3 linked regions of the Macaca fascicularis genome follow. The protein of the gene in region 1 interacts with the protein of each later gene in a pairwise test. Links are inferred from orthologs where the notes say so. Each region holds a gene or a part of one and is shown in the gene's direction. Other genes may lie near its edges.

What was found.
Region 2: the proteins of CCNDBP1 (region 1) and C10H22orf23 interact in binary tests that used the Homo sapiens proteins (3 or more experiments, as listed by UniProt). The two-hybrid records come from large-scale screens. The link is inferred for Macaca fascicularis from reciprocal best matches to the Homo sapiens genes CCNDBP1 and C22orf23.
Region 3: the proteins of CCNDBP1 (region 1) and THAP10 interact in binary tests that used the Homo sapiens proteins (3 or more experiments, as listed by UniProt). The two-hybrid records come from large-scale screens. The link is inferred for Macaca fascicularis from reciprocal best matches to the Homo sapiens genes CCNDBP1 and THAP10.

The regions. Positions count from the first base shown.
Region 1 is NC_088381.1:19,780,292-19,784,042, forward strand, and holds the start of CCNDBP1 (cyclin-D1-binding protein 1), read left to right. Parts: upstream 1-1,015; coding exon 1,016-1,387; intron 1,388-1,667; coding exon of another isoform or gene 1,668-1,747; intron 1,748-3,751. Other genes in the region: TMEM62 (transmembrane protein 62), read left to right, coding at 1-137. UniProt on the Homo sapiens protein: May negatively regulate cell cycle progression. May act at least in part via inhibition of the cyclin-D1/CDK4 complex, thereby preventing phosphorylation of RB1 and blocking E2F-dependent transcription.
Region 2 is NC_088384.1:13,668,689-13,672,439, forward strand, and holds the start of C10H22orf23 (UPF0193 protein EVG1), read left to right. Parts: upstream 1-915; 5' UTR 916-929; coding exon 930-1,022; exon of another isoform or gene 1,023-1,053; intron 1,054-1,382; coding exon 1,383-1,494; intron 1,495-2,251; coding exon 2,252-2,314; intron 2,315-3,751. Other genes in the region: POLR2F (DNA-directed RNA polymerases I, II, and III subunit RPABC2), read right to left, coding at 727-746.
Region 3 is NC_088381.1:47,678,025-47,681,675, reverse strand, and holds part of THAP10 (THAP domain-containing protein 10), read left to right. Parts: intron 1-3,444; coding exon 3,445-3,592; intron 3,593-3,651.

The DNA.
Region 1 (3,751 bases):
CCCTAGCTTTTTTATTCTCCCCTTTGCGGACCTGGTTGACACTGCTGACACCTGTTCTCATTCGTTGTGTGTGGACACTGAACTCCGCCAAGCTTGGAATCTTCATGGTGCAGTTAAAAAGCCACCTGAGCTCCTGAAGGCCATGTCTCACCACTGGCAGCTGGGCAGAAGCCCAGCCTCTGTGTCTATAGCCTAGGCCTCTACCCCAGTAGCAGGCGGAGGGCCAGTATTGGTGCGTGAGCTTTAGGGAGCTGCTGCTCGTTTGGACTCCTGGATGTTGGAGGGATTACCCACTACTGATACCTGCAGAATGGACTGCAGAAAAGTCTCAAAAATAATGCCTTTATTCCTTCCCTCCTCAAGGAGGCAAAGAGTTGATTTATCTTTGTGAAGAGAAAACCCTTATCTAGGACACCCACAGGGTAGGGGTTGGGTGTGTGTACGGGAGTGTCTGAGGCCCAGTGTGTTTTTTAGGGGTTACCCCATGTAAAGCACCTACCGCTGTGCTTGAAATTCAGCAGCTGTCAAAGGTGCAATTTCAAGGGCAGGGAACCTTTGAGGATCTGGGCCCGACCCTGACCACGGCTGAGATTAGTTCCCAGGCCTGTTTTCCCGCAGGATTGTGGGCTCTCTGCTTCCTTAGTCGGAAGTGTTTTCAACTAATCAAATAAATGAATGAATGATGAATAAGAAAGACCGTGAGCCTGAGCCTTGCTCGTGTGGCCTCGCTTAAGGGGCGAGAGAAGGCGTGGCCTGTCCTGGCCTCTGGGATGGTTGGTGCTGGACCTCTGGGGACAGGGCGGGGCGGGAGGAGGCGGGGCCAGGCCTGGTCTCATAATGGGATGGGTGGTGCTGGACCTCTGGGGGCGGGGGCGGGGCTCTGGGGCGGGGCTGGACGGCTTGTTGCCGGAAACGAGCCATTGACGCTGTGGCCCGGAAGTGGAGCGGCTGTCGCAGTGCGGCTCCGGCAGTGGTGGCGGAGGCTTGTGTTTGCGGCCTTCGGCAAGCGACTGAGATGGCGAGCGCAACTGCACCTGCAGCCGCAGCCCCCACCCTGGCTCCACCTTTGCAGCAGCTCCGGCACTTGGCGGAGGAGCTGCGGTTGCTCCTGCCTCGAGTGCGGGGTGAGCTGACGGAGTTGGAACGCGCGACGGCAGGGGCGGGCTCGGGGAGAGGCCGGGATCGGGGAGAGGCCGGGCTCGGGGTCGCGGAGAGGGCGGGCGGGGGCGGCGGCGGCGGGGAGCCAGGCTCGGGCGAGGGAGGTAGGTCCGCTTACCTTAGCTTTTCCACTCGCCACCATTCGGCCCCCACACGCCACACCCGCAAGTCGGCGAAGCCCAGGAGACCACCGAGGAGTTTAATCGAGAGATGTTCTGGAGAAGACTCAGTGAGTGCGCCTCCTGTCCCGGCTCCCCTTGCCTCAGTTCCTTCAGCGTCCCGACCCCTTTCCCTCTCGCTCTCCCCCAGGGAGGGGACTGCCCTCCCCTGCTGCATCCTTTCTGTGAGATACCTTACCCACCTCAGCACCTGAGAGGGTAAACTAGAATTCTAACATCGACATTCGGGAGGTGTTTTTGAGAAGTCTGGGTCGGTAAGGGAACGCGTATCTTCCAAGTCCGTGCAGCGCTAATGTATTGGCACCTGCCTTCTCTTCGGCCACCCCCCAGATGAGGCAGCTGTGACAGTGTCAAGGGAAGCCACGACTCTGACCACAGTCTTCTCTCAGCTTCCACTGCCGTCTCCACAGGTGGGCTTCACTTTCCTGGAATCCTTGGGCTGCCGAGTTACACCTTAGGAATCCTCTAATTTTCTTTCCACCTTTTACACGCATGCCAGGAGATTTGTTTTCTTCGTCTGTCCAATGAGGTTACCGTTTTTTACTTCACAGGCTTGTTGTGAAGACCGAACTGCCAAGTGCATTTCCTGGCGCGGAGTAGGCAGGTCTTATAAATATTGGTTCAATCTGAAGTTCACCCTGGTGGTTTCTTTTCTGATAATTTTTTAAGCACTTTTTATGTGCTGGGTGTTTTCACATACTTGATGGCCATCTGACAGATGAGCAAGCAGGCTCAGAAGCTCAGGTTAAGATTTAAAAAAAAGCAGGGGAGCTAGAATTTAAATCAAGGTCTATCTGATGTCTAAGGTACACCTATTCTGTTATACTACATAATACCCTTTTTATATTATTTTTTATATTTAATCAGTAACCTATGCAGATAGTATAAAATTCAAAAGATATCAAAGTTAAGTGTGTTAAGTTTATCCTTCCATCCACTTTCTCATTTTTGTCTCCCCCAGTTCCTTTTGCATTATTCCACATACATTCTGTACATATATACATTCATAAACATTTATCTTGTATGTGTCAGCTTCTTTTTACACAAATGGTAAGATACCATAAACACTGTTCTGGACCTTCCTTTAAATAAATTAACAATAGAGCTTAGAAATCAACTCTTAGCAGCTAGTATAAAGTTGTTCCGTTCTTTGTAATGACTGCATGGTATTCAATAGACTAGATATAAACATAATTTAACCATACTCTATGTGGACATTTAAGCTGTTTCCAACTTAGAATTACTGCAAACAGTGTTGTGATGAATTACGTAATTCTGTGTATGTATGTATATCAGTAGAAAAAATTCCCAGAAGTGGAATTGCTAGAACAAAGAATTTATGCGTTTTAAATATTCCTTTATTATTAAACTAATGAAAGTAAACATGTTGGCTGTGACCACGTATGCTCTATGCTTAGTTTTTTCTAGAGCTGTGTATCCTTAATATGGGAGTAAGATTCTTTTAAAATGGCATATTCATTGCCTTATTTGATTTTCATAGTCAATAGTTTTAATTTCTCAGTCTACATATATAGGTGTTTGGAAAGAATATAGGTATCTTCTGCTGCATGTACCTACAGTGATAAACTCTCTCCTCCTCACATACCTTTGAGATTTTTTTTTTTTGAGGCAAAGTCTCACTCTGTCACTCAGGCTGAAGTGCAGTGGCACAGTCTCGGCTCACCGCATCCTCTGCCTATGCGGTTCGAGCAGTCCTCCTGCCTCAGCCTCTCGAGTAGCTGGAATTACAGGCACCCGCCACCATGCCTGGCTAATTTTTGTATTTTTAGTTGAGACGGGGTTTCACCGTGTTGGGCAGGCTAGTCTCGAACTCCTGACCTCAAGTGATCTGCCTACCTTGACCTCCCAAAGTGTAGGGATTACAGGCATGAGCCACCGTGCCTGGCCTACCTTTGAGATTTGTGATGAGGAAACAAGAGATGAATTGTATGACGGCACTTTAAAAGATTCATGGAAAATGGACTATTTCAAAAAGAATAGTTAATATTATCTTATTTTTCTTATCTGCTAACCCCTTTCTTTCAAATACACTTAGGACTTGCTGCTAAAACTCACTGCAAGTAAGATACCACAAGGAGGCAGCATAGAACTGATTTTCTATACATGCTCAGGACAGTAGTTTCACTCATAGATGAAAAATTAGAATTTGGATTTATTTGAAATATATACAAATATTCAAGTATATACATATATTCAAATAAATACATATGTGTATATATGTGTGTATATATACACATACATACACATGAATCATCATTGCCTTCTTGAGATCTCACCACTTTAGTCCTACTAAAAGATGGGTGGTTTTTTTTTGTTTGTTTTTTTAAAATTCCAATCTGCATGGAATGATACTTTAATAAAATTATGTGCTTGGATGTTGAATAAATGTCAAA
Region 2 (3,751 bases), on another chromosome or scaffold:
GTATGGTGGTGCACGCCTATAATCCCAGCTACTCGGGAGGCTGAGGCAGGAGAACCCCTTGAACCCGGGAGGCAGAGGCTGCAGTAAGCCGAGATCGTAAGCCGAGATCGCGCCACTGCACTCCAGCCTGGGCGACAGAACGAAACTCCGTCTCAAGAAAAAACAAAAAAATTACTGCAATGAACAGTCTCAGACTTTTATTTAATGCCACCCGGGGAGCTGCCCAAGACCCTCCTGTGGAGTACTCCTACACTACGTACTTCTAGAACTGTGAAGAACTTCTAGAACTACGTACTTCACAGAAGCAGATGGAGAACTGGGGAAGCTCACGCGACCACCATTACCTGCTTGCTTGCTTACTTATGGGCCTATGCCGCCTATTCTACAAAGTGAGCACGTGGAGAGGCAAGGACGATTCTTCTTTCACCTCAGTATTCCCACTGCATGACACAGAGCCCGGCTCGCTGGAACATTTGCTGAAGGACACCTTTTCCACGGATCCCCTCTGGACCCTCGAGCCTGGGCCCTCCTGTGCCCAGCCTCCAGCCCGGGCTATGCCCCTGGGTCCCCGCCCTTCCCTTCCTAGGCTCCGCCGGCCCCCTCAGGACCCCAGGCCCCTCAGACATTGCCCCTAGACGCCAGGTTCCTCAGCTGCCTTCGACCCAAGCCCTGCCTCACCCGCCCCTTCCGAATATGCCGCAAAGGCCACTCCGCTCCCGCACTCACTTGTCCTCGTTGTCTGACATGACACCCCCGCCTCAGGGACCCCGCTGCGTCCCAGTCCCGCACGGAGACCCGCAAATAGCGCCTCTACAACTCGCGGCGCCTCCCTTATCTTGCGCCTGCGCGGTAACCCAGAGGCAATCACTTCCGGGAGGCAGGCCAGAGAGGGGAAGTGCGCATGCGCTGACTCGTGAGTGCGCGTTTCTATGGTAGCCAGAGTCGCTAGCTGCCAGCTCCAGCAGCCCAGATCGCGTAGTATTTCTGCGTGGCACCGGTGCTGGTGCGGCTGTAAAGCAGTGGTCAGTGGTCACCGCCTCCGGGAGCCCACTTGTATGTGCAGAGGGGAGCACCCAGAGTGGGTCTTAGGGTGAAATTTCAATTTTGGCATATCACCCAGTGGGTACGGTTGTGACCATGGCTATATTAACACTCCCTTCCCGAGGGGACTTCCCTGCCACAGGCGCTGGGTCAGAATGAGCACTGTGTGTGTGTACCTGTCTGTGTCTGGGTGGGAGGTTTAGGCACTGTCGCAATATTAACTGGCGGCATCATTCTCTGGCTCGATCTCCGCTTCCAGACTTCTGGGGATGTTGGGCATGGGGGAACAGAGATTAGGAATAGGAGACAGGGGGTGTGTCATTGCGTCTTTCCCTCCTCAGGGTCCTCCCATGGCTTCACAGAAGCAGATGGAGGTAGTGACCAAAGGAACTGGGTTCCGGCGCCGCCCCAAGACGACCACTTACACCCCGGGGACCTGCGAGCTGCTCAGAGGTCAGTGCGTTAAAGCAGCGATCCCCAGCCTTTTTGGCACCAGGGACCGGTTTCGTGGAAGGAAATTTTTCCACTGACGGGAGTGTGGGAAATGGTTTCGGGATGAAACTGTTCACCTCAGATCATCAGATATTAGTTAGATTCTCATAAGAAAAGCGTGCAACCTAGATCCCTCGCGTGCGTAGTTCACAATAGGGTTCGCGCTCCTATGAGAATCTAAGGCCGCCACTGACCTGAAAGGAGGCGGTGAGGCTTGCTAGCCCGCCGCTAACCTCTTGCTGTGCGGCCCGGTTCCTAACAGGCCAGGGACTGGTACCAGTCCACTGACGGGAGGTTGGGGACCCCTGAGTTAAAGGATGAGAGAAGAATGGTGGTAGTTACCCTCTGTAACTGAGTTCCCCCGTACCTGACCTGTGGCTTAGCAATTGCTATTTTCCTTTACAGATAAGGAGCCTGGGGTTCAGAAAGCTTCAAAGTTCTACTGCATATGCCTTAGGCGGGGAGAGGAGGGGGAGGTTCAAGGTGCTACAGCTTGCCAAAAGTCAAAGAACTAAAGTTTTTAGAGTAGTTAACTCCTATGCATCCTTTAGATCACACTTTCAACTTTCCCGAGGAAGATCTCTCCTCCTTACCACCACAGTAGGATCAGCTGTTATGCACCCTCACACATTTTCCTTCACTGGGGTTAGCACAAGCTGTAGTCAGTTATTTATCTGCCTGCGGCCCAGGAGGCCTCACAGAATGCTTTGTCGTGCAGTGATGATGAAGGAATCCAAACTGACGAACATCCAGCAGCGCCACATCATGGACATCATGAAAAGTAAGGGGCAATCCACAGAGCCTTCCTGGCCAGAGGGGATCTGGGGCCACGTTCTTTTTTTTTTTTTTTTTTTTTTTTTTGAGACTGAGTCTTGCCCTGTTGCCCAGGCTGCAGTGTAGTGGCGCGATCTCGGCGCACTGCAAGCTCCACCTCCCGGGTTCACGCCATTCTCCTGCCTCAGCCTCCTGTGTAGCTGGGACTACAGGTGTCTGCCACCACACCCGGCTAATTTTTTGTATTTTCTAGTACAGACGGGGTTTCACTGTGTTAACCAGGATGGCCTCGATCTCCTGACCTTGTGATCTGCCCACCTTGGCCTCCCAAAGTGCTGGGATTACAGGTGTGAGCCACCGTGCCTGGCCTGGGGCCACATTCTTATTTTTTTTTTTAATTTTTTTTTTTTTTTTTTTTTTTTTTTTGGAGACGGAGTCTTGCTCTGTCGCCCAGGTTGGAGTGCAGTGGCCGGATCTCAGCTCACTGCAAGCTCCGCCTCCCGGGTCTATGCCATTCTCCTGCCTCAGCCTCCCGAGTAGCTGGGACTACAGGCGCCCGCCACCTCGCCCGGCTAGTTTTTTGTGTTTTTTAGTAGAGACGGGGTTTCACTGTGTTAGCCAGGATGGTCTCGATCTCCTGACCTCGTGATCCGCCCGTCTCGGCCTCCCAAAGTGCTGGGATTACAGGCTTGAGCCACCGCGCCCGGCCAGGGGGCCACATTCTTAATGCTTCTGCATGTTAAGGGAGAGAGGACCTCATATAAAAAAAAAAAAAACAGCTGGGCACGTGGCTCATGCCGGTAATTCCAACACTTTGGGAAGCCGAGGTGGGAGGATGGCTTGAGCCCAGGAGTTCAAGACCAGCCTGGGCAACACCGCAAGACCTTATCTCCACAAAAAAAATTTTTTTTTTGAGATGGAATCTCACTCTGTCACCCAGGCTGGAGTGCAGCGGCATGATCTCGGCTGACTACAACCTCCACCTCCTGGGTTCAAGCAATTCTCCTGCCTCAGCCTCCTGAGTAGCTGGGATTACAGGCATGCGCCACCACACCTGGCTTAATTTTTGTATTTTTAGTAGAGACGGGGTTTCACCATGTTGGCCAGGCTGGTCTCAAACTCCTGACCTCATGATCTGCCCGCCTCGGCCCCCCAAAGTGCTGGGATTCCAGGTGTCAGCCACCACACCCAGCCTCCAAAATTTTTTAAAATTAGCCAGGTGTGGTGGTGCACACCTGTAGTCCCAGCTACTCAGGAGGTTGAGGTGGGAGGATCACTTGACCCTGGGAGGTCAAGGCTGCAATGAGCTGTGATTGCACCACTGCACTCCAGCCGGGCAACTGAGGGGAACCTGCTCTCAAAATTAAAATAAAATAAAATAAAATAAAATAATAATAAAAAAAATAAAATATAAAATAAAATATAAAATAAAATAAAATATAAA
Region 3 (3,651 bases), about 28 Mb from region 1:
AGAGAAACTACAATATATGGACTTACTCTTTTGAAATTTGTTGAAACTTGTAACATGCCCAAAATAGTTTTTTAAATGTTCCATATGTACTTGAGATGAATGTGCGTACTGCACTTGGATAGTGTTCCGCTATGTCTATTAATCATATTTAAATTTCCTATATCCTTTTGGAATTTTTATCTTATTCAATTAATTACTAAGAAAGTGATGTTGCAATCTTCCACTGCGATTTTGAATTTACATATTAATCTTCAAATTCTACCCATTTTGTGGTCTATATCTTGAAGTTATTAGGTTATTAGCAATGTTATTAGGTATGTATATATTTTGAATCAAACTTGCATGGCTATGTTACTAGGTATATAGTGCTAATATAGCAACACCAGGTTTCTTTAACTTAGTGTTTGCATAGTACATCTGTTTCCATCCTTCTACTTTCAGTCTTTTCTGTGTTGTCCTTAAAAGTTTAGGCATGGCCGGGCACGGTGGCTCACGCCTGTAATCCCAGCACTTTGGCAGGCCAAGGCGGGAGGATCACGAGGTCAGGAGATCGAGACCATCCTGGCTAACATGGTGAAACCCCGTCTCTACTAAAAATGCAAAGAATTAGCCGGGCGTGGCGGCGGGCGCCTGTAGTCCCAGCTACTTGGGAGGCTGAGGCAGGAGAATGGCGTGAACCCAGGAGGCGGAGCTTGCAGTGAGCCGAGATCGCGCCACTGCACTCCAGCCTGGGCGACTGAGCGAGACTCCGTCTCAAAAGAAAAAAAAAAAAAGTTTAGGCATTATTCTGTCTTATGGTTACTCCATTGAAGAGAATGTATCTTTTTTCCTCTGACTGCTGTTAAGTTTTTCTCTTCATTTTCCAGTTTTACTGTAGTGTGCATAGGTTTGGTTTCTGTTGTTTTTATTTTGATAAATAGAAAAGGTTTATAGTACTTTTGCAAAACCATGACTTAATGCCTTTTATCCATTTTGATAAATTCTCAGCTGTTATTTGTTCAAATACTGTGTCTGCCCCATTTTATGTTATACTCTGAAATCTTATCCCCTATGTCTATTATGACATTTTCTGTATTTTCTGTTTTCCTTTTGTCTCTTTCTGCCTCATTCTAGATATTTTCTTTTGACTCATGTCCTAGTGGATTAATACATGCTTGGAAATTCTGCCTCTAAGCTTTTAATCTGAAGAAGCAATCAGATATCTACGTAGGAGATTTATGTTCAAATATTTCTAGTAATACGGATTGTTTTAATAAATTGTAGTATATCTGTATAATACATTCCTATGTGGCAATAAAAATTATGATGTAGAATATTTAATAACATAGAAAGATGATATATAAAATAAGTGGCAAAACTAGGTTATAAAGCATTATATTATCTCAATTTTTAAAAATACACAGAAAAAGACAAAAAACATCAAAATATAAAGTTTTAGCTATGGATTATGAGATTATGACAAATTTTTAGTTTATTTTTGCTTCTCTGTATGATGCAAATTTTTGCAGTAAAAAATGTATTATTGTTATAAAGGGAACAAAAGTTATTTTTCAAACCCTGATTAAATTTCTAAAACTCGATTTTATCCAGAATACACCTCTTTGTAAAGAAATATGTGCTTATTCTGGACTTTGACAATGCTTGACTTAGACGTAGATATAACTAGTGAAAATTGGTCATGATTTTTTAAACATGGAGATAAACCCTTTAAATAAGAATCATGTTACAAAGGGACTCTTCACAAAAATTTCTTTACAAAGTATCTTTTTTTTTTTTTTTTTTTTTTTTCCTGTGTGTGGGTATGTGTGTGTTTGAAACAGAGTCTCACTCTGTTACCCAGGCTGGAGTGCAGTGGTGTGATCTCTGCTCACTGCAACAACCTCTGCCTCCCGGTTTGAAGCAGTTATTGTGCCTCAGCCTCCCAAGTAGCTGATGTGCCACCACACCAGCTAATTTTTGTATTTTAGTAGAGATGGGGTTTCACCATGTTGGCCAGGCTGATCTCGAAATCCTGACCTCAAGTAATCCACATGCCTCCGCCTCTCGAAGTGCTGGGAGGCATGAGCTACTGTGCCTGGCCACAAAGTTTCTTTAACTTGGGTATCAATAGCCTGGGCCTATGGTACAGCCACCAAAGACACCTACTAAAATATTTTTTCAGTGGTTTGAAGGCAGCTGCCACTACTGCTAAACACTTTAATTTTGTTTTCATTTCTCTATCACTTATTTTCTCTCCTCCCAGGCCCTCTTGACTTTTCCAGATATTTCTTACCCTCTTCCACATAATCTGTAGGTACCCTGTCTTATATTACCTTTTACATATCAAAACCCTCCCTCTTTCTACCTCTGACCCATATTACTTCCCCCACAAATCAAATTTCACCGCCTGGCACAATGGCACACGCCTGTAATCCCAGCACTTTGGGAGGCTGAGGCAGGCGGATCACCTGCGGTCAGAAGTTTGAGACCAGCCTGGTCACCATGGTGAAACATTATCTCTACTAAAAATACAAAAAATTAGCCAGGCATGGTGGCAGGCACCTGTAATCCCAGCTACTTGGGAGGCTGAGGCACGAGAATTGCTTGAACCCAGGGGGTGGATGTTGCAGTGAACCAAGATCATGCCTCTGCACTCCAGCCTGGGTGACAGACGGAGACCCCTGTCTCCAAAAAAAAAAAAAAAGGAAAAGAAAAGAAAAAAATCCATTTCACAATGTAATTTTTCTCAGCAAAGTATTAAAAGTCATTTATCTTATTAAAGGAGTCCTCTATAAAGTATAAAGAACAAATGATTAGGTTTTCTAGAATAATATGACTGCTAAGATATCAAATTAGTTAATACTAATAATATTATCTCGGCTGGGCGCGGTGCCTCACGCCCATAATCCTAACACTTTGGGAGGCCGAGGCGGGTGGATCACCTGAGGTCAGGAGTTCGAGACCAGCCTGACTAACATGGTGAAACCGTGATTCTACTAAAAATACAAAAAAATTAGCTAGCCATGGTGGCACCTGCCTGTAATCCCAGCTACTTGGGAAGCTGAGACAGGAGAATCAATTGAACCTGGGAGGCGGAGATTGCAGTGAGCTGAGATCGCACCATTGTACTCCAGCTTGGACAACAAGAGCAAAACTCTGTCTCAAAAAATAAAAAAAGTATTATCTCTTCTAGCTGTTGATTTAAGAAAAAAATAATTAGTTGTAAGCAAATAGCTTATACATTCTGGCTGACCAGAGTTCATGATTTATAAGTGGAAAAAAGACAGTATGGCAGAATTCATGAAAGCTTGGACTATAGATTCACCTTGCCTAGGTTCAAGTATCAGCCTTACTAATATGTGACTGAAAATTTTCAGCTATACTCTTTTACTACTTGTAACTTTTGAAAGATAAAACCCTATAAGGTAAACTTTAATATATTTCTCCTCCGATTTATATTTTTAGATTACGTGTGAAAATGAAGTTGTGCAAACCCAACCCCATGCTGATAATCCATCTAATACTGTCACTTCAGTACCTACTCACTGTGAAGAAGGCCCAGTGCATAAAAGTACACAAATTTCTTTGAAAAGGCCCCGTCACCGTAGTGTGGGTATGTTTTGACTCTTCAATGGATTAAGCAATTGAATCGATCTTTTGTATATTAAAGAT